3 linked regions of the Oreochromis niloticus genome follow. The protein of the gene in region 1 interacts with the protein of each later gene in a pairwise test. Links are inferred from orthologs where the notes say so. Each region holds a gene or a part of one and is shown in the gene's direction. Other genes may lie near its edges.

Region 1 (7,444 bases):
TCTGTCACAGGCAACCAATCGCACTCACATTCACTCCTGCATTCACACCTATGGGCAATTTAATGGTTTCCAGTTAACCTATCCCCACAAACTGCATGTCTTTGGACTGTGGGAGGAAGCCGGGGGGAACAAATAAAATAGATCCTGTTTTTGTTTTTAGGTTTGTTTGTTTTTTGAGGGGGGTGGGGGTCCTGCTGGGAAGGGGATCCAGTATAACTCCTTTCTGCATGACTGAAGAAAAATTCCTTCCACTCATCTCTTATCGAGTTCAGGCTGGAGGTTGGCAAAACAAACAAATGCACATAAAAAATGGAAATTAAACTATAGTTAACTTTAAACAGTTATATAGCTCATAATCTGGATATAAATCTATGTTCTTCATGCAACACAATAGCTGGATATGAAGCAGATGTTATTACAGCCGAATAATCAACAGGCTGTTGATCAGGTTATGACATAAAATATACATAATAATAGATAAATAAATATACAACAAATATACAAAATATATATAAATATACATAAAATATAAAATGTAATTTTAATTAACATTTACATGATTTTTGTCAGTCCTTTTGATAGTTTGTTTTCATTAAGATCTGATGGTGTGTTGCTATTAATTATGGATTTAGAAAATTCCAACTGTTGTAATGCATTTGTATGAACAAGATATAATAGTGTAATAAATTGTCAATGTGATAACATATGATACAGCAGAGGGGGCAAAAGCGCAGACATTTGTCACGTACGTAAAGGAAAAGATGTGTTAAAAATACTCTGGCAAAAGTGGAAGTACTAATTCATCTTCTTCAAGAGTAAAAAGTTTATTTTAAATTAAAAAAAAACAAAACTCAGCTTAAACATCTGTTATATAAAACACGACCAAAGAAAAATAAAGGGAATTTAAAAAAGATATATCTATATTTGCTCTTGCCTACATTGTAGAGCGGCGACTCATACACACCTAAAAACATCGGTTGTAGCGGTGCAACATGGGCAAAACAATTACAAAGAAAGATGTCACGCTTTCCATTTGTGAGCACTTCATCTGTAAGTAGAGCAATATCACCACCTGCTGGTGCTCACAGTCAGACACACATGTCTCACTTTTCCTCTGACCTCATTATAGAAACACTAGAACAGCGGTCCCCAACCCTTTTTGCGCCACAGACCGGTTTATGTCCAACAATATTTTTGCTGACCGGTCTTTAAAGTGTCGCGGATAAATATAACAAAATAAAAACAAAGAAGGTTTATTCATAACACACGTGAAAAGACCCAGTTAACGGAAACCGAATTAACGATAAAAACGTTAAAAAAAACAAACAACCCCCCCCCCCCAAAACCCCGATAAAAACCGATAAAAACCCTGAAAACCATAAATTTCACACCCGAGCTAAAACTATCGCAGCCCGGTACCAAAGGACTCATGGACCGTTTTTTAAATCTTCGTATTGTATTTAATAAATGCAAAATGAAGTAAAATCACTAAATAAGGCAATATTTTAATTAGAAAAAAAGTGCATTTATGTCAAGTCTTTTAATTGACCCGTTTCCTTACATTATATTATTCAACTGTTTCAAAACCCAAATTACTTGAATCCCCAAATACTTACTGGTGAAAACTTCTTTGATTGCTGATGCCAAATCATAATATTACATAAAGGGGAAAAAATAACACTGTTTCTTATTTAATGCTCAAGATTACAAAATTGCTAAAAAACACTTCTTCTTTCTTTTTTTTAAAATAGCCAAACAGTGCTACATGGATCAAAAATACCACTACAACTCATGAAGAAGAGGAACGTTGAAACTGATTAATAGATAAGTCATTTTGAGTCAAACCTGAGCCCACTTCTGTTTGCAGCTATTTAGCTTTAGCTAATATTGATTTTAGTCTAAACTCTAACACATATGTACAACAGTTACATTTACATCTGCAACACAAGAATTTCACTTGTGCTTGAGTATTGCTATTTTAAATCCAGAACAAACCTGAAATCATCCACCAAATCTTTCAAATAGAGTTGTCTAGTGTCTAACCAGTTTTGATGTTTTGGTCTCCCTGTCTTTGGTTGAACTTTTTTTCCATCAGGATTTGGCAGTCACTGAACAAAGCAGGGGAGACAGCACAAATTGCATTGCAGCAGAAGCAGTAGCTGCATAGCTGGCCCCTGGTTTGTTCCCTGTTTTGGCCTTTAAAAAAAGAAAATGAAGGTATCCAGTAATATCTGAAAATAGGCTTTTTATTCCCTTTAAAAAAAAAAAAGTTAGAATGTGTCACAGCTTTTCACCTTAAATTGATTTCATACCACTGTCAGTACTATATATCACTTTAATTTCCCCTTCAGGTTTATATCTAAGTTTATATCCTATTCTAATGCTTCTAGTATGAAAGCCTCTCTCATCTGCTGTTGATGAATTGTATGAAGGTGGTCGACTGATTGGATGGCATAAACTATACAGGCATTTGAGATCATGTCTGAGGGTTCTCTGTGAGTGGAAGAATACGTGAAAGTTAATGTTTCTCATTCCATTCAAACTGTTTTTGGTAGAAAATATAAATGTAGTTTTGCAACAACATGCATTATTATCTAAATTGGTGCATGTGTCTGCTATCACAAATACCCCAGAGCATGTAGTTCATCCTATACAGGAAAAATAAGAGACAATAAATAAATCATCCATGCCATCAACACACAGCACTGTAAGAGTGTAATTACTGACTCCTTCTTCACAGTCAAGACAACCTGTTGTTAGACTGGCTGTCTCCATCAGTCTCTATGTCTGTGTCTCTGTAGGCTGTCGTTTACCTCTGCAGGCTGTTTCTCCAGGCTTTCTGATTCTCATTTTTTCCAAGTATTTTTGATGTATTTGTTAATTATGTTATGATTCTTTTAGTACAGTTCTGTTATGAAGTCAAACAGTAATGTTTTAAAACTGAGGTAACAAGCAAGAGGCAGATCTGACTGAGAAACTCAAGTAGAGGTATACTGCACACTCACAGGTTACCAGCATGGGAATTATACAGTAAAGCCCTCTTCGTTTACAAAATGAACACCTTAAATTTAACTTAAATTTAGCTTAACACTAGTGATTGAGCTTATGATGTCACCAGGAATGTGTTTAAACTTCTATACAGCTTTCTTTTTATAACCCCACTTGTCGCCCTCTGCTGGCCATAAAAAAGAATGCAAGCATAATGGACTTTGCGTTCTCTTCTCGCAGCCTCGGTTCCCTTTGGTGTAAATCTCCAGAAGTCTGGAGATGAGTTTCTGTTTCCACTGAAAACCCTTCAGCATAGAAACCTCACATTTGTCTAGACTGTGTTTCCTGTACCCTCTGTCCTACTTGCACGTCATCTTCAAGAAAGTCTTAATTCCAGAAAATAGTTATTCCATATTAAATTAACTACTTCTGAAAGGTGGGTTGTATAGTGTATATAGTATATGTTATATATGGGTCCAGCTTTTTTTTTTTTTTTTTGACCTTCATAACTTTTGAAGAACAGGAGATATCCACCTGAAAAAAGCCACAATCTTCTTTTGCACAATTAGTTTCATTATCATAGTTTCAAGTAACAATGCTGCACCAACTTAATGTCTGTGATTTAGAGTAAGAGGAACAATCAGTGGTATACTGAGTCCCATATCATTCCCTAATTCGTTACTGGACCAAATGCACTTTGGGAATTGAAATGTCCTTCAAAATGTGTAATGAAATGTGTTTTCGCATTACGGTGAGAAGAACGGAGGAGAGAGGAGGCAGAAATGAGAGAAATAAGAAAATCCCTTATGTTAAGTAATTCCTTTTGTTCTGTTCCCCTCTTTTGCTGTCTCTTGCTCACCTTTTCCATCTGCATTTTGGTCTGGTGTCTGGACTCCAGGATCTACAAACTTTGTTTCAATAAAATTTATTTCAGACTGTTAAGAAAGACCAAAGTAACAAAACACCTCAGAACCAAATAATTGAAATGAAGCGTCGTGATAAACAAACAAGAAAAATTGAGTCATAAATTTCCATTTGTGATTGTGGAACTTGAGAAGGACTTGATATGTTCAAGTTAAGCCACCGTCTTAAGCAAATATTTCTGTAGTAAATGAAAATTTCAGAGAAAAAACAACTAAATAAAAATTACATTTATGTTTTTTTCTAGAATGATTACAAATTATTAGATTAAATGGGATTTTTCTGAACACTAGTTACGGAGCAGAATAACCTCGAGGACAACCTGTGAAATGAGAAGAGAGGTTAGGTTCGTCACGGAGTGGGAGGGCGCAGTGGACGGATTGGACTCGGGCCTACGGCTCACACACAGCTAGCGTCTGCATTCCCTTCATCTCCGACCGTCATTGGCTAACGAGCACGTCGGTCATTGTTTCCCAGCCTCAACTCGCGTCTGATTGGCTGAAGGGACACCTACGACGGTAGGGCAAACGCTATTGGTTGAAAAACTAGGTTAGTGGTCCGACAGGCATGACGGTGAAGAGAAACTGGGTCACCGATTGAAAATCGTTTATGTCACACTTCTGTGTGTTGCTATTACATATTACCAGCGACGTTCAATGGATGGATTAGTCCCCCTGGATCTTTTGTAAGTATAACACAAGGACGAGGATATGTTTGTCGACGCCGCGTCTGTGTGACTTTGCTGGGCTTCAGTCTATGATGGATATCGTCGATGTTTTCCCAGCGCTGTGGTCATGTCAGTGTGGTTTTCTAGAGCAGGAGGAGGGACTTTAGCTTTGCTGGCCAAGTCTTGACAGTTAGTAGCTAGCAGGGAGCTGTATGCTAATGTTAGCAGACGGGGCAGAAATGCCGTTATGGTCAAAAAGTGCGGAAAACGCCTTTAGTTTGTCGGGGTTGGTTTAAGTGGTGCCAGGACTCGCCCGGACTTGGAGGAAGCTCGGGCGTAGGTAAGTGCCGGTCAGTGGCTTTCAGTTTATTAACTGAACGTGACCCAAGTGAGTAAAGCTCCAGCGCTAGCACACTAGCTGTGTAAAACGGGCCTTGGTGGGTATCCTCAGCAGCATCCATCCTGCTCCTGTAACTTCAAAGCCTCCATTGCTCGTCTCTTTAAAAGGCCTCAACGTTACTGTGCCATTCTTCTATTTATTTGGAGACCTGTGCTTGTTTTAAGTATCGCGACGGTGTATGCACTTGCTGTGGAAATGTGGCCACCGCTAGGTGTCTCTGCTGTGGTTGATCAAAGGCTATTTGATTGGGTTGTGGTTATACTGTGCATATAATTCGTGTATTATTTAAGCAGGAGGATATGGGGTGTGATAGATCATATAAAATCCGAAACAAAACCTAACCAAACCGCTTGAAAGCTGAGTGAGTGACGATTGTGATGATTTTAGTTGTTTGTTGTTACACATAGGCATCATAAAGGGTGGACGTGGCTTAATAGTGAAACCAGTGCAGAAGGCCGTTAAACCTTCATTCTTTCTAATGAGCACCAGAGGGCGATACCTGTGGTTGTAGAAAAGCCTTCCTGTCCTGTATAAGTCTATGGGAAAACAGCCCTCTGTCCTGACATCAATAAACCCTTTCCTCATGTGTTTATGGGCCCAGCAACTCATTTCAGGTCACATTGAGTAAGACGTGAAATCCGTTTTCTAATGTACTGTCTTTATTAGAGACAGACAGGAGGATTAGGTGTTAGCCATGAGCATGCAGGTCTCCTTGCATGTCATACCTGGTTTCAGAATACCAAGGCGGGTCCTGCTGAGGACCAGCTGGTTTTGACTGGGAGGATATGAAATGGGCTTGAGCAGGATAGGAAACAGTTGGTTGTCACTGTTGATTCATCATCTGAGTCACTCTCACCACACTGAAGCCTTTTTTTAGTACACAGGGTTTATGGATCTATTTGGGGATACTTCATATGAAACCTTTGGACATTGTGTAAGGGCAGTTTGCTGTTAATTTTATTTCCTTTTTTTTTTGCTGGATTACTGTCTTGTGTGTTATTTTGACAGCTGAACCTTGTGTTTTTGTAGTTTCTCATGCCTGCCTTGAGTAGATTATCCATTAACTGTTTCACCACATGAAAGGCACTTGCTGTGAACTTCAGACTGTGTCTTTGTTTTTGTTTCTAGCCAGGTAGCAACCTACATCGGATCTTATCAGTACGGATATATGTAGCCACAAAGACATTTTTACAGCAGACATTTGTTGTGATGACTCAGAAGGGTTGCAGTTAACCGTCCTGTTGATCATGAACGCCAAATGACAAACCTATGGTTTCTATGAGGAAACTGCATAATATAAAACGTTATAGAGAAAAAGATTCTTGTCATGACTATGTGGATGCTAATTTAGATTAACTAGAGATCATTCTAAGTAATTATGTGAGAGAGAACGTTACACTAAAAAAGTCTAGTATTAAAATGTATGTGGAAATTCTTCAATGCCAAGTATTGTGGTAGAAGTATAACGTTAGTGGGGAAAAAAGCTTTTTAAAACCTTATTTTAGAGCAACCTAGGTAAACTTTTTTTTAATGAGATTTAAGTGGTGATCCTACACATGTAGCTGTTATTTCCTGTTAGCCATTGTAATGAATATTCATTTGGATAATCCTTCAAAATAAGAGCCCACAAGTGCTTAAGGAAAGTTCCAATTGGTGAGGCTTGCTTAAATGAGATTATGGGACACAGTTTATTTAGAGGCGAATGTATGAGAGCTACTGAAAATGCCCTTCTTAAGGGGTGAATAGCGTTGTCAGTGATGAATAATAATGAAAAAAGGACATGGCATGGAGGTGCAGTTTTTAGCGCTGATGCCTCACAACAAAGTTTGGATCTGCTGAGGTCTTTCTTTGTGGAGTTTACACATTCTTCATGTGCCTATATGGGCTTCTTCCGGGTACTCCGGCTTCTTCCTAAAATCCAAAGATATGCATGTTGAGTTTACTTGTGACTGCAGGTGAGAGATTGTGTGGTTGTCTGTCTCTGTGTCGACCCTGTGATGGTCTGGCAACCTGTCCAGTGTGTGTACCCCGCCCCTCATCCTATGATAGCTCCACCCCATGTCCCTAAGTAGGATAAGCGGTTAAGAAAATGGATGGATGTAACCAAGGCGTCCTGCCAAGTTAAATAAACATGCCCCATGTCTAATTCCCAATAGGAGATGCTGGCCACAGTAACTGGCCATATGCTTTGGCTGGACAAACCTAACGAGCCATGCCATTGACTAAACAGAGAGGTTCCACATCCATCAGGAAATCCTCGCATGTAACTAAGAAGATACGATGCCTGACACTTACTTATTTCTCCCCTGGTAGCTTCTGTGGTTTAAAAAAGGAAAAAGGTAAAGAATTGTTGGGGTTGAAAGGACAATTGATCAAGAAATGTGTTTATCTAAATAAAGAGACACAAGTAGAGAATACAAGCCAAATGATTTTAACTAGTGTAAATACAATAAATAAATAAAAAAACA
Region 2 (7,941 bases), on another chromosome or scaffold:
CGAGGCTCGTCCCGGCAGGGAATCGCGCTCCTTTATCTAGCATCGATCAAAACTACTAAAAAGCTGGCCCCAAAAAGCGTCGAGATGGGCATCACTACGGAAACCCACACATGAGAATAAAATCAGAAAGGTTCAGCTGAACCTACCTCATACTCCTCCAGCTCCTCGATCAGGATCTAACAACAGAGACACAGTTAGCAACGGATGCTAAGAAACCTACTTATTTAGACGATTTTTAACCAGTACGACTTGCTATTTTGTTCATCGTAAGGTATTACCTTTGCGGCTTTTTTACACGGTCCAGACTGCAGAAATCTGGCAATGAGGTAATAGAGTTCTGAAAAGAAAAACAGTAAATGAGCTTGGTACTAACGGAGGTAGCTATTGAGCGGAGCTAGCGTTAGCCAGCTGCGCTCGGTTAATTAGCTCGCTACCTGGCACACAACTGAAAACAGTGTAAATGCAAAATATTTAGTCGCGAATTAAAGCAGCGGTCAGTACTCACCAGCTTCGATTTGTGAACACTGTTCTCTTGCCATCACTTGGTAAGACAGGCGACATTAAGACAAACTGATGTTTTAGCTCGCTGGTTAGCCGCCGGCTAGCTAAGAGTAGCTAGGTGTGTGTAGCTAAAACAGGCTAGTGAATGGCCTCCTCTCGCAAGTTGTTCCCATACTATCCGCTGCTTTGGATTAGTGCCCTCTAGTGAATCAACACAGTACCGGACGGAGTGCTTTCTTCAGAAAGAATGAATCCATGTTACAAATAAAACTCGTTAAAATTTCACAGATTTTACACAACAATTGAACGTTAATACTTTTCAGCGGTAAAATAATTTTTTTCAGGATTAATATTTTAAAGGGTAAATGTATTCGTAATTTATTTTTTTTTTTTTTGGGGGGGGGGGGCAACAATGCTATTTTGTGAATAAAAATATTTGTGGTTTTAAATATATTGTTGCCAGTCAATATACAGTTGCAATTGTTGGAGCAATCTCACTGATCTTAATATATTTGGACATACAAAAAGTATGTCCAAATAAATAAGTTTTCTATCAGTTCATTTTCTAGTAGGTACAAATGCATTCGTCTTTGATATGAGGAGTGTTTTGGTTACAGTCTCTAGCATCTGGGTGTCATTGTGGAAGAATCATCCTTGACTTTAACAGTAACAAAGAAAATGTGCAGCTTGTTGAATTGTGAAATAGTATAGCATTTATTTCCACCAGCTCACCCTTGCAAGGCTGAGTTCTAAAGGGTGGGCTTGAACATCATTGCCTTTGTGTGGAGACAAAGTTAGAGAGGCAGGGTTGAGAGGGTTTGGGCATGTGCAGAGGAGGGATAGTGGATACGCTGGGTAAAGCATGTTGACGATGAAGCTGCCAGGCAGGAGGAAAAGAGAACGAGCACAGAGGAGATTCATGGATGTTTTTTGTTTAAGAAGGTTCCTAACTCAGTGAAGTGACCAGAATTATCTGCTAAACAGCCAATAAGAGCTGTTCTTAAAATGCTTAGGAAGGGAGCCCTAGAAATAGAAATCCTAAACAATGAGGAAAGCAGACTGGATCATTTTTCAGCAAGTAAATATAAGAAAAGAAGATGTGTTTAATTTTACAGGCTTTTAGAGGTAACTTATTGTAATGCTGCAATCACAGGTTTATCTATTCAGTGTTTTCTATAATTTATATATAAAAACCCAGCCACTTCACTTCAGTGATAACCAGAAACAGCTCAAGGCCAGCAAACCCTATAAAGGAAGCGTCAAGTGAGAGTGAGTGATGGAGGCCTAATAAAAAAATTACAAAATAATCAGGTAATTACTAATAAAAATAATAATGTTTAATAAAATAATGATGTAATTCACAAATCAGAAGAATTGATGGATGATCAATATTTTTTTTTTAATATAAGGTATAGATAGAAGTCTCTGGGCACTGTGTGTGAGGTCCTAGGGGCTGAGACTCAGGTGGAGCTTGATCCATAGAAAAGCTGCATTGTTTTTAACAGCTTCACCAAATGAACCTGAAATCTGTGTTTAACAGAAGACCTGTAAGACACCTAACATTATTTGATTGATCATGGACAGTTCCTGTGATAATTAAAGTACCGTTACTGTGCCACCTGGGTAAATGTGCACATGGCTCAGATATTAGTCTACCACACTGACACAGTCCCATTAATAGCTATATTCTGACAGATATGTCGCTGTGTTCGTAACAGACTCAATAGAGAAAAGTCTCTGCACACTTCTGAGAAAAAAAGCTCAGTTTAGATCATTTCTGATATGTTTCATGAAAACACCAGTATAATAAGTGGGGGTCGGCTCGTAGCAGGACTGCGTAAAGAGTTTAGGACGGAGCCATAGTTTTGGCACTTCGCTTACAGTTTCAAACCATCCACCTGTGCCAATCACAGACTCGTTCATAACATCTTGCAACAATATCTTTGTAAGGAAGGTTGTTCTCATTTGTATGAGCCACATAAAACAACAGGGTAAGAACACATTATGGTGAAGTATGTGTCCATTTGGGTAGTAAAAGGAGATAGGAAGTACTTTTGAAAGAGGGTGTAGAGGATGTTGTGCATAGGTTAAAAGAGAGGCAACTGATCTGTTGTGGTGACCCCTAAAGGGAGTAAGTGAAAGAAGGAGAAGAAAACCTCATGGCCTTTCTTACTTTTAGATTGAGTGACACTAAATTATGCAGTTTTACCCAAAATGATGCAGAACTGTTGAGACATATATGTTCATTATTTTATTCCTGTCACCCTGGGTGAAGTTTTCTGGGTGATGCACAGTCATGTTTTACAGCCTGACATGTTTTCATGATGAAATGTTTTTGAAGCACACATTTTTGCACATGTAGAAAACAAATTTGACAGACTTATGTATTTAAATAGTTCATGCGTAAACATTAATGGTGTATTATTCACACGTTCACAAAAAAACCACAGAGTGTATCGGTGTAATACTGAAGCTGAACCCTGCACACAATTCCTTGAAAAATCTAAAAACTGAAAAAGCTCCATTCATTGGCTTAGATAGAAAGACTCATGGAAAGGTTGAGAGCATGTCTGAGTCTCAAATAACCACCAAGGTGAGGTCACTATTTTATTTGGGAAGCTGAAAATAAATACCCTATGCTTTCCTTCTTTGTAACTAGCAAAAAATGAACAAACAAAGATTATGTATAAACGTCTTTTGAAGTTTCTCACCGTGTTTCTCACCGTGCACGGCTGACACAACACCCATCATCACAGATCACAGCTGCAAAGCTGAGATTGTTATTGGATTTTTGAGTTGTGGTTTCACGTACTCGCTCACATACGTACACTCTCAAGGTTCACTCTTGATCTCCAGTGAAATTTAAAAAAGTTCTCTTGCCGTTTGCTGTGGTTTCTTCAAATATTGCTTTTGAGAGAATTGGCAGCTTATGTTCACTTCGTCATTGTTTGAAGAGGGCTCTTTGTGTGTGAGTGTGTGTTTATGTGTGTGGTTTGACTCCACGATAAAGCATTTTATATATAGAATAACAGTGGAGGGATGGTGTAGACTTATTTCTCCTCACGTAGAGCCATGCCGTCTTTGCCCTGTTCATGAATAGCTATTCACCGGGAAAATTGTAAAGGAAAATGATGTGTGACGACTGGCCGACTCACACGCTTTCTCGCAGGCAGTTGCAAAAGAGTTTTCTCTGCAGACAAAACATCTATGTGGCCTGAAAATGATTTGATATGCTGTGGTGTCATTCTCCCTTCTGGCAGCAGCCTTACATACACCCTTCTGTTACGGTCATGAATAACGAAATTCATGATTTAATAGTCAGTCCGCTGTGAAATACAAGTATGTTTTAACCCACTCGAAGCATTTGGCCTTGTTTCCCCTCCTGAGGAGTGATTTAGAGACACACATCCTCTGAGAGGTCTATTAGACAGGATATCTTTTGACAGATGAAGTGAAGGAGTGGGGGTGTTGGCCTATTTGATCATGCTTTGGATGCAACTCTCGCAACAGAATTGTTTTAGAGTGTTACATGCTACCTTGTCTTTAGACATATGAAAATCCACAAATCAGTCTAACTTTGTACAAATGTTTCAGACTTTTACATACAGTGCCACTTGCTTTTTACTTCAGCAAGTCTCCAGAACTGATCTGCAGGAGTGTGATCTGAACATGTGCTTCAGCTGCCTTTTTCAAAAGGAGTTAACCTTTCCTGTCACATAAAGTTTCTTCTGTTTGTATGCCACCCTAGAAATATTGCAGATTTATAAATAAAGCATTGTGCAAAAGCAAAGAGCCACCTGTTATTTCTTTATATTTTGATTGGAAACTGAAAAATAGGTCCAGTGATTTTTGTACAAACAAGAACATAGAGTATATAGGGCAAAAACAGAGTTTGCACAATTCTAATGAGCTTGAAAGCCAGTCTAAACTCTTTTACGCAGCTTTCTTGTCACTTCTCTAAGTAGTCTTCAAGAAAAGTTCTCCAAGGTTTCTTGAGGGACGTTCAAAGCTCTTCTTTGGATATTTACTGTTAATATGATCACCAACCGCTTCAATAATGTTCAGGTCTGGGCTCTGGGGAGGACAATCCAAGACTGACAGATGTTTGGACCCCCAGATGCTTTGACCTACCTACAACACAGCATTTAAAAGCATATCTGCTTATCCACTAACATCTCAACCATTTTAATTATATGTGAAGTATGCATGATATGTCAGCAGCCAGGGCCATGAGTAGTGACCTGTAATGCTATAGCTGTAATGTAAAATAGCAAACCAGGGAAACTCAGTGAGATACACCTCTTCCAGCTTCAACCGATTGCATATACTGGAGTGACTCATTTGAGCTGTTGCACCTTTAGCAGTTTACCCATGCAGATTGCACGGACTGAACTAAAGGTGGCGCTGCAGCGTCCACTGATTGGTTGGACTGAGGAGAAAGTAGGGGACAGGTGCGACTCTGCGGTGCGTCTCTCAGACCAACAAACTTTACGAAGCCCGGCTGTGGCTGACCCAGAGACCACGAATCACACAAATCAGCCGAGCAGTGGTGTGTCAAGCAGCCTAAATGTGATCTTCAGTTGTGTTGCACCCACGCGGTATTCTACCTGTAGTGTTGTCTGGCCGAGAAACCCCCAAATGCAGACAACTGAAAGGCTGGATGGCGGTCCAGCCACACCCCCTTACGGTAACCCTGTGGAGATGGGCGGTATTGGATGGCACTTTCCTCCAATGACGTCGTGAGAACAGGCGGGGCTGAAGGACCACCTCCGCCCTTCGGCAGACTGCAATCAGCCTGCTCACATAACTTAATATAGTATGTGGACCAGTGGGCGGGGCTGTGAGCGCGAGCGCACACTGGCTGCTGCCGGAGGCTCTTCATTCAGCCTGCATGAGTCCGCGGACAGGAGCCGGACTGTCCAGCGCGCTCTAATGAACGTGTGAGGTTTGTAGGCTGGGTCACATCAGCAGCGTGCTGCAGCCTAAATACAGACAGCGGCAGGAATCGTTAGCAGACTGCAGTGCAGTTTCACCTGTGAGCAACTTTCTGGAATGTAACACGTCTGAGTTTTATCTGTTAAAACCCAGACTCTCACACACATATACACCCGCTCCTGTTTGGATCCTTATTCGGCAGAATAAGGTGAGTGTCGTTTTGTGCTCGATACTTGTTGCGGTTGTTATAAATGTGGCTTCAAATTGGAAACTTTCAAGTAATAATAATAATTTAAAAAGTTGTTTTTAATAGCTGCCCTCTTCTCCTGACTCAGTCTGCTTCACAGTGTTTTTATAATAGCAATAGATGGTATTTCTGCTTCTTTATGTCCCAATCAAACACATACATGACTGTTTAGATTGTTTGTTTTTTTTATTTCTGTTTACTAAGTGAAGAAAGTCTTGGTCCTTTAGTGTGTGTTATAATCATTATATTGTGTGAAGCTGTGTAAAAATCTTAGTAAGTGCAGTAACTACTGTATAATGGAACCTATGTGCTGACCTAGCTCTGAAATGTTAGTTTTTTCCATATGGAGACACTTGACTGCATCTGAAAAAGAAAGATTCTTGTGTGTGTGTGTGTGTGAGATTTGAAATATGAGGAATGAAATATGAATGTGGCTTAATTGGCACAAACAGACAAACAAACTAGAGTCTGATAAGCCAAGACACTTGTCCTAGTAAAATCAGCTCTGATATACATCTGAATGTCTGATCTGAATGACTGATGCTATGTCAGTGACGGCTGTGGTTCGGGGACCTGATGCGAAACAAAACCCAGAGCGAGGGATCCGAGGCATTTTTTTTTCTTTGCTCCAAAATGTGCTGCTGTCAGAGTCTAAAAGATTATCCTGTGTGTCCATCTACTTACACTCGTGTTGAGGCTTGTGCCATTTTTCCGGCTTGCTGTGTCAGTGCTGAGGTTGGCCCAGGAGCCATGAGCAGTGATGAGGATGTGTGCTGACAGCTGAGCGGGGCAGGATGAGGCTGTTCCATGACTGACTGAACTGGGCTGTTCACTGCACCATATGCTCCTCTTTATATCGTGCTGCTAAACATTTGGGCCTGCCTCATGACTCATGCTGTCTTCTTCTCCCTTCAGCCAATTCTAATCCTGCTACTAAATGGGACAATCAGAACATTGTTACACGGCGAGCTAGAAAAAGTGGTGGATTCCACTTTTGGCATTAGGTCTACCACTATGAAAACAGTATATAGGAGTCAATCACAATCCTTTTACAGCTTCCAGTAACTGACAGGTATCATGGAGAAGGCCATCCACAACTTGTCAGACTAAAAAATTTGGCCTCTGGGTGATAAACAAATGTAGAGTGAGCCTGGACCAGCTGTGTCAGTAGTGCACTGTGCACCACTGACACAGCTGTCAGACTGTGTGGGTGTTTCGTTTTAAGGTGTGTGTGTGGTAACCCAGAAACCCAGAAGACTGGTTTGAGGATGTCAGGTAGTGGGGTTTAACCATTTACGGTGCTGATCACCTGATACACGAGGCTGTGCACAGCAGAAACCCAATCTGCTAAGGTTCTGCTAAGACGTGTTCCCGTCAAACAAAGATTTCAGAGTTTTGAGAAAAGCTGCCACAAATGTTACACATCTGTTTGTTTTTTTATAACCAACATTTATTGTAATGTAATTAGCTTGCCCTGTACTCAGTGGAATGGCAATTTGAGACTTTTCTGCTCTCAAATTGAAAGTTTTCTTCTCTAATCTTCTTCATGTTGTCTTTTTTAGTTTTAGTCTCCTCCCCTGGAGACCTTTAAATGCAGGGAATATAAGTTATATTATAAGTTCTATCAGGATTTATTTCACCTTTAAGTATAAACTGAGCATGAGGCCTTGTGGACATTTCTGTCCTGACATATAACTGTGATTAGTGTCTGTGATTCTTTTTCTTCTTCTTGCATCTCTTTGCTGAAACTATGCTGTGGTGAAGGTTAGTTAACTGATGACACATAGCCTCTTCTCTGATGTTACAGAGCATGTTGTGGGGAAAGTAGGTTACTGGGCCATGTCCTGCAAGCTTAAACTGAAAGCTAGTCTGAATATTGCTAGAGCTGCTTAGTGTGACTGGGCATGCACAAATGGTGTAGGTCTGTGCAACAGCAAAGGGACTCCTCCTGCTTTCTGTCTCTTTAAGAAAACAGAGCTGTGCTCCACATAGAATGAATGTTGAATGTTCAACCCATGATGAATCATCACAAACACACATGAAATGAGGTGAAATCTCACAACAGGTTGATTAATAGATCAGAGGTTGCAAATAACCAATTCCCGCTTACCTCTGAGCACCAGAGGTGTCATCTTTTTGTGTGTGATTAGCTCATTTTGGCCTTATTGTCTCAGTACTGACATTGACTTCAAGTCTTATCACGGTGTTTTGCTTTTTTTCTTTAACAAACCATATTAATTTAAAATCTTCCACAGAAA
Region 3 (7,156 bases), on another chromosome or scaffold:
TCTTCCTGCATCTGCATGGGTTCTCTCCATGTACTTCTTCCAACCATCCAAAGACATGCAGATAGTAGGGGTAAGGTTAACTGGTGATTCTAAATTGGCCGTAGGTGTGGATGTCTCCGTGTTAGCCCTGTCCAAAATGTACCCCAGCTTTCATCCCAAGGCAGCTGGGATAGGCTCCAGCACGCCTTCACCCTGAATTGGATGGATGGATCATGCTGACCAAAGACTTTGGTTTTGACCTTTTAGAGAAGGACATAACTACTGCACTGGCACTGGTGAGTTGCATTTAATTTAGAACTCACAAAATAAATAAAATAAATAAGAGCTGATTATCATGCTTTTGCAATTGTTGAAACAAACAGAAAGAAAATGCAGTTACAATTAAAATCCAATTCATCTCCGTGCTTTAGTGGCCTAACCTCGAGATGTCACACTGAAATTACAGGGATAGACGATGAGTCTTTTTCAGACACGCCATTCTCAGATCTGAAGATTTTGAGTGCTGTGTGTGAAAAAGCATTATGATTGGAGCAAGACTGGTCCCGGTAATACACCAGAGCCTACTTACGTCCACTGAGCACAATGCTTCCACCAGACATGTAGCAGCACAGTTCAGAAGTATCTCAGAAGCTACTTTTGGTCTCTTTAAGGTAGCACAGAGTAGAGGAAGAAGGCAGGGTGTCAGGGATGTTAATGGCATAGAATAACTGTTCAATTTCCAAATTGATTCCCCATCCAGACTAAAGCCTCTGCTTATGAAGTGCTCGGACATTTCAAGGGTGATACTGCGTTTTTTGGACCGGTACCAGTGCCAGTCAGTCAAAGCTGGACAAACTGTGTGATGACAGCATTTTTAAATGTCATCAAGCATCTTTTATGCTTTTTCTTTTTATGGTGTAAAAGAAAGAAATCTGACAACATACAGCTGTGATAGGCTAATATCAGCCAAAAGATGACAACATAGAACCTTTACTGCGAAATTGGTTTCAAATCGTGCTAAAAAGTTACATATGTGGTAATTTGTGGGAGTTGTGATCTAATTTTATTCACATGCAGATGACATTTAAATGAGTTGACTGTCCTCTTATCAGTTATGTCTAATGACCTTTCATTAAAGTCCAAGAATAGCACAGCAAGCAGCACCATTCATGTAGCAGTAAAACCCATGCTGTAGCAGCAGTTTGAAGAGCTGAAGATGTGTTACTGTAAATACAGCAGATCTATCGATTAACATTATCCAACTTTTCTTCTTCTCTCGTGTCTCCTGTTGCAAGTTTGTTTAGTCTTTCATTTGAAAAAAAAAGTCAAACTATTTGTCCCACTACAACTAGAAAGGGACACCTAGTCCTCCGTGCTAAATCTGTTTCCAACAAAAACATCCTTCATGTAGGAAACTCATTTTCACTCGTTCTCAAATGGAGGCGGTTGGAGATAAATGTAAAACACGGAGGCACGATGTTGATTTCAAACAGTGGATACAGTATTATGATGCATACAGTGTCAAACGTTCATCTTCCCGCAGTGTTACTGTATGTTTATGCGGTTTTTGTTGGTTTGTTCGCAGTCCCTGTATTTGTGAAGCTCTGTCTGTACATTTTGTTCATTGATGAATTATTTCCATGCCCTTCATTTGTGTTCATGTTGATTTTTTTTTTTTTTTGCCCTTTTGCGCTACGTGCCAAATGTACTGTATTTTAAAAGGATGTGAAGGTGTATTTTAATTTTTTGAAATGAATTAAATATCATGATGTCAGAGAGAGACAGCTGTTTGTTTGGCGTATCATTTCAGCTCCTGTGATTTTTAATGCTCACTTTGCACTGATTTCAGATGTGTCAAAAAAAAACAGATGAAAATATGTTTAATAATTTGCTCACTGTATTACATTACAGTGAGCAAAAAGCAGAGGCTACTGTATGTGTATCTTTTCTATCTGAAATATTTGAGATGTTGACTCAGGAGGACAATGTTAAACACCCAAAGCATTTATGTGTTTCTGAACAATGCGGTGCAACCTGCTCTTAAAACCACAGCTCATGAGAAACTTTGATGTTCCGCTCAGAATAACAACAATAGCTGTGACGCAGGCTGTCCTGCTTTATTCTGTCTACTTTGGTTTTTAGTTGTACACCTTACATATCCTAATTAGAAAAAGTGAATATTTAAACCCAGCTCTTGGTCTGTTCTGCAGATGCTTATACATAAACACAAATTGATACAGTCGTGTTATATCTACACCTGACAACCTGCAACATAGATAGAAATCTGGTTTGTAGTTCAACGGACAATGCCAGTAAATGACTCCCAAATGACAACCACCAGAAAAGTGCAAATGGTGAACTTGTCTGGACTTGAATGGTAAAAAATTTTCGTGATAAGAGATTCAATAAAAAAAAATCCAAGTTTTATGTAAAATCCAGAACAAGATTTCAATTTTAACTGAGGCTAAAAGCAGGACAGCAGGGTGTTTTCATTATTCTATTAAAGTATGAGTGGAAGAAGTGAGTTTGGATGAGTATACTTTCCACATCTTCGCCATTTTGAACGTTCTGGAGCCTTGGTGATGGAAACACTGCTGTGGAGACTGACAGCAGATCAGTGATAAGAAAGGCAAACCGAAGACGACATGCGAGGCTGCTTCTCGTGCACAGGCCTCGGGACTGACTCCTGCCCTACTTAATCCAACTTCAAACTGTAGTAAAAACATTTACTACATTTTATACTTTTCAAGTTAACTAAGACCACACGACATTTGATGACGTTGCATGATGGGGACTTTTAATCTGGAACGAGACACAAAATGTCAAGAATTTTTTAATGAAGCCAAGAAAGAAAGAACAAAACAGTTATAATTGTGTGTGTGTGTGTGTGTACATATACATATATATAAACTTAAATACATTTTGAAACTGGAAATTGTAATTGCCATCTGTGTTAAAACTTAACCTTCAAAGTAACAAAGTAATTTAACAGGTTGTGTAATAAAGTACTTACAGTACTACAAACTACAGCAATATAAATGTTGGTTGTATTTTGCAATTGTAGCTTTAGTGTGTTTCAAACAACAGATTGTAGATGCATCATAGTCACGACACACCTATGACATGCAGACTATGACCATGACATCACTCACTGGTTTTGAATTCCACATTTTGAAGTTTCAACAATAGCATTTTGAGTGTCGTCATGTGTTTTTTGTGTTTATTGAGTGAGTGTGGAGATGGTGGAATAATCAACACGGCCATCGCCCTGATTCCAGTATCTGGATGGATCCAGTTGCAAAAAGAGAAAATCATCCAACTCTTTGGAGGCTTTTCACCACTAGAAAAGCAGGAAATGGAAAAAAAAAAAAAAAAAAAATGAGTTACCTGACTCAGAATCTGAATTTACTGACCAAGGGTCTCAAAATGTCAATTCACTTCTGAGTAAGACAAAGTTTTACTTAACTTGAAATTTTAAGTTATTAAGTCAAAGTTTCTGCAAACTGAGCCTAAATTTTTACTTCACTGGAGAAATTACCAGCAACTATCCTAAAGGCGCTCAGCTTTGGAGGTTGAGCCTTACCTGATTAGGATTTCCTAAGTTTAATACATGAACTATAAATAATAGGCAAACACTGGCAAACTTAAGACTGGATTTTAAACTTCTTAGTCTAAGTTGACATAGCATTTCCTCCAGTAAAAGTTCAGCTTCGCCTAGAAAGGTCACACAAGTAGTTAAACTGTGCCTTTAAAGAAACAGAACTAGGATACACTTTTAAAGAGTTAAAACTCACTTTTGAGACAATCTGATCCTGTGTGTTTATGATATAAAGATAAATTCTCAGAACAGTTGTAATCATGGTTTCATGTAAAGCTTCATAAGCTTACATTAAAGTGAGAGGTGACTACATTATACTTCTAGTCTGGTTACTGTAGGCTAGTTTTAGGCCAAAAAGCGACTTTATCTACAGATTGTCTGCACTGGAGCTTTATAACGTCCTCACCTGTAGGAATAAGATCAGCGGTAAGGAGTTCAGCGGCCACAGTGGGAGGGGCGGGGCTGAATAAAGGGGCGGGGTGGTCTCCCGGTGGCGTTTCCAGCCAATCAGCTGTTCGGGACTGAGCTTCAGCTGAGCCTCAGGTCAGAGGCAGAGCAGCTCTGGGAGTTTGCATATCAGCAAGCGAAGAAAAGTTTTGACAAGCGGACCTGCGGGCGGCTTCTGTCAGCAGCAGCAGCAGCTCAGCGTTCAGCCTGTGTGGAGTCTTTTCTCAGCGGGTGAGAGGTTGTACAATCCTCGGCAGTGTTCTGAGACTGTACGGCCCCAATCCCCCAGCTCAATCACCGCCAGCCTGGACTAACTGAACGCTTCACAGGTTTAATGACTTCATCTGTCAGCGGGCTCCTTGTGACCTGCGCACTTCGGTCTTAAACCTGCTTTTTTCTCGTCTCCCTATTTTTTCAATATAATTTTTTTTTTTTTTTTTTTTTTTTTTTTTACTCTAAAGTTGGACTTTACTCAAGACTGTCGTGGAAACAGCATTGCGAAAATATGACAGCCGATAAGGAGAAAAAGAGGTAAGAGATACTGGATTCACTCCTCTCCTTCAGCCTCTCTGCGGTTTTAATTGCCTTCCGCTTGGATGTGACTTTATTAATTCGCGGCTTTAATAACATAGACTGTTTATTTAGTGCAGAAATTGCCTGACATTTGGCTGCTGTGGCACAGAGAGGGACCTGTTGCTGCAGTGCTGCATGTGACTTGGCCTAGCTTTGCGCTCTGTGCTTGTTTGGAAGGCAGCGACAGGCGGTGGTTTCACACAGCTTTAATCTTAGCATTGCATTAATTTTGATGCACCGGGGCTGGAAGGTAAGTGGCCGGTTTAGCCTGTAACTGAACTGAGCTTTTGTTTTGGAAATGAGCTGCCGATTGTTAATGGCTTTAACCACACTTGATTTGGGTTTCACTGCGAGAAGCCGCATTCACATTGAATTGTGCATATTTTAAAACCCCGAATGAACTTTAAAGGACTTTAAAATACTTTCTAAATATATTCAAATTTGAAATTTAATGCCATTTCTGATCTGCTTCTCGCTCATTCTAAGGTTAAACCACACTGCTGACTAATTTCCACATTAAGTGGTCCTGTAAACAAATCATTAACTTTTAAAAAATTATGTGTGTGTAAATACCTCTATAGGGGCTCGCTGTTGAAATGCACAACACTTGTGATCTTTTTAAATGGAAGTTCTTTTCTTCATATGAAACTTCATTTTTCTTGCATAATTAAACCCACATAAAACACTTTGATCCTGCACACAGGATGCAGAGCAGACAGAGAAAAGGCTCAACTTGCATGCAAAGTAGCAGCTTACTATAGAAGAGTACATGTCATTATAAATGTATAAATATTAACAAGATCTACATGAAGTTTTGAACAAGTAGTAACAAGAGGGGAAAAAAAGACACCACACATTTTTTTTTTTCTTTTTTGAGTAAGGCGGCACTTTCTAGAGAGAATCCAAGCTCTTAACCTTTAACCTCCTTTTAACAGAAGTCGGGCATCAGTAAAGGATAATCAGTCATTACAGCAGATATCAGACTGCCTGATCAGGAAAGTTCTAGACCTGCAGATATATTGCGGTACCTTGCTGTGAGAGTGCTTTCCTGCACAGGAAAGTACTCTAACCACCTGATGTTTAGCCAAAATCTCAAAAACTGTTGCTGATATTTGGCGGCATGATTGGCAGCATTCGTAGAGCTGTGACATCTTTTTTTTTCTTAACTTAGTCACATGACACAGCAGATAATCTTGTCCTGTAACCAGTTTGTCAAACAGGAGATAATTATGCATGTTTCATCTAGGTCAGTGTATCCCAGCACTGATCTGACCAAGGCCTGGATACTGCATGTTTTCTACAGTGAAGTTGTTTATAATTTGGCTCTACAACTAATTATGTATTGTATTATTTCAGGTTTCTTCAGTTTCCCTGGCTTTATTCCTTTTTTTTCTGGTTGTTAATTGTTCATCGGTAGCCATGAATCCTCAGGCTTAATCTTGTGTAATAATGCTTTACTGGTCTCAGCCTGTCTCGGTTTGTGTGGTCACAACAGCCCGTTTAGCTTTAACATCTTACCTGTGGGAAATTCTAAATTAGGTTTCCTGCTTGATTCCTGGTGAGAGCGTGAAATGATGCTCAACTTAACATTTAATTAAGAGATTCCCAGAGATTTTCTGCAAATTAATCTTTCACACTACCTGGAGAAGAAAACTAATTTCAACCAGTGCAGCTGTTTTTGCTTGACACCTGCTTGTATGTCCAGTGCACCTCTGACTCTTTTCTCTGACTCTTGTCTGTCAGATCAAGCCTAAAGGTGAACAAAGCAGGGGACTAAGGCAGGATAACTGTTCCAGGGGTGAAAACATTCAGAGAAAGAGGGAGAAAATGACTTGGGGAGATGGAAAGTGAGATGAGTATAGGGGCATTTCCTCTGACTGGTCAACGCCTCGGTGCTCCCACTGAAGACCTATCGGCCATTTTAGGGAAAGGGATCTCTGCAAGTGTGTCTCTGTCAGGCTGCACATGAAAAGCGTGTGTGTGTGTAAGTGTGTGAGAGTTCACTGGTGTTTGTCCTCTCGCTGGTGTGCTCTGTGTATGTGTGTGTTTGTCTTTGTGTCACACAGTAGTATGTTGTCACTGCTGCTGCCTGGAAGTCATAATTGGTTTGATAAGTTTTGATTCATGACAGCTGCCAGTGTTTATTTGAGATGCGGTGTCTCTCACTGGTTTTATTAATAATACTCATGTGGATGTGATGAACTGACTTCTTGTCCAGCAGGCACATATTTTCTGTATCCTGATACACAAAAAGATTTTAGAAGATTTTCACCACTGAGCCACTGATTTTTCTTTATAAGTTGGTGTGTATGTCTTTTTTCTTCCATGAACAAGCCCAACATGTTCATGGAAGAAGGAAAATGAACAAACTGTCAGATATAGTCTGCAAATGGGGAAAATAATAATAAGTGTTTAGTAACTGACTAATCATTTACATTTCTGCAGTTGGAACTTTAAAGGCAAATATTCAAATATTTGATGGGTTGGGACTTCATCATTAACTGAAAATAAAAAAAAATGTATAAGTCAACAAATAGTACAAGACTTGATGAGGGGAAA

What was found. The genes of interacting proteins can lie anywhere in the genome.
Region 2: the proteins of aryl hydrocarbon receptor nuclear translocator-like protein 1 (region 1) and npas2 interact in binary tests that used the Homo sapiens proteins (3 or more experiments, as listed by UniProt). The link is inferred for Oreochromis niloticus from reciprocal best matches to the Homo sapiens genes BMAL1 and NPAS2.
Region 3: the proteins of aryl hydrocarbon receptor nuclear translocator-like protein 1 (region 1) and epas1b interact in binary tests that used the Homo sapiens proteins (3 or more experiments, as listed by UniProt). The link is inferred for Oreochromis niloticus from reciprocal best matches to the Homo sapiens genes BMAL1 and EPAS1.

What each region holds. Positions count from the first base shown.
Region 1 is NC_031972.2:5,392,480-5,399,923, reverse strand, and holds the start of aryl hydrocarbon receptor nuclear translocator-like protein 1, read left to right. Parts: upstream 1-4,437; 5' UTR 4,438-4,594; intron 4,595-4,699; exon of another isoform or gene 4,700-4,916; intron 4,917-7,444. UniProt on the Homo sapiens protein: Transcriptional activator which forms a core component of the circadian clock.
Region 2 is NC_031975.2:10,397,759-10,405,699, reverse strand, and holds the start of npas2 (neuronal PAS domain-containing protein 2), read left to right. Parts: upstream 1-4,936; 5' UTR 4,937-5,644; intron 5,645-7,941. Other genes in the region: brwd3 (bromodomain and WD repeat-containing protein 3), read right to left, coding at 147-176, 279-337, 506-539. UniProt on the Homo sapiens protein: Transcriptional activator which forms a core component of the circadian clock.
Region 3 is NC_031978.2:5,142,121-5,149,276, forward strand, and holds the start of epas1b (endothelial PAS domain-containing protein 1b), read left to right. Parts: upstream 1-4,151; 5' UTR 4,152-4,353; intron 4,354-4,485; 5' UTR 4,486-4,529; coding exon 4,530-4,555; intron 4,556-7,156.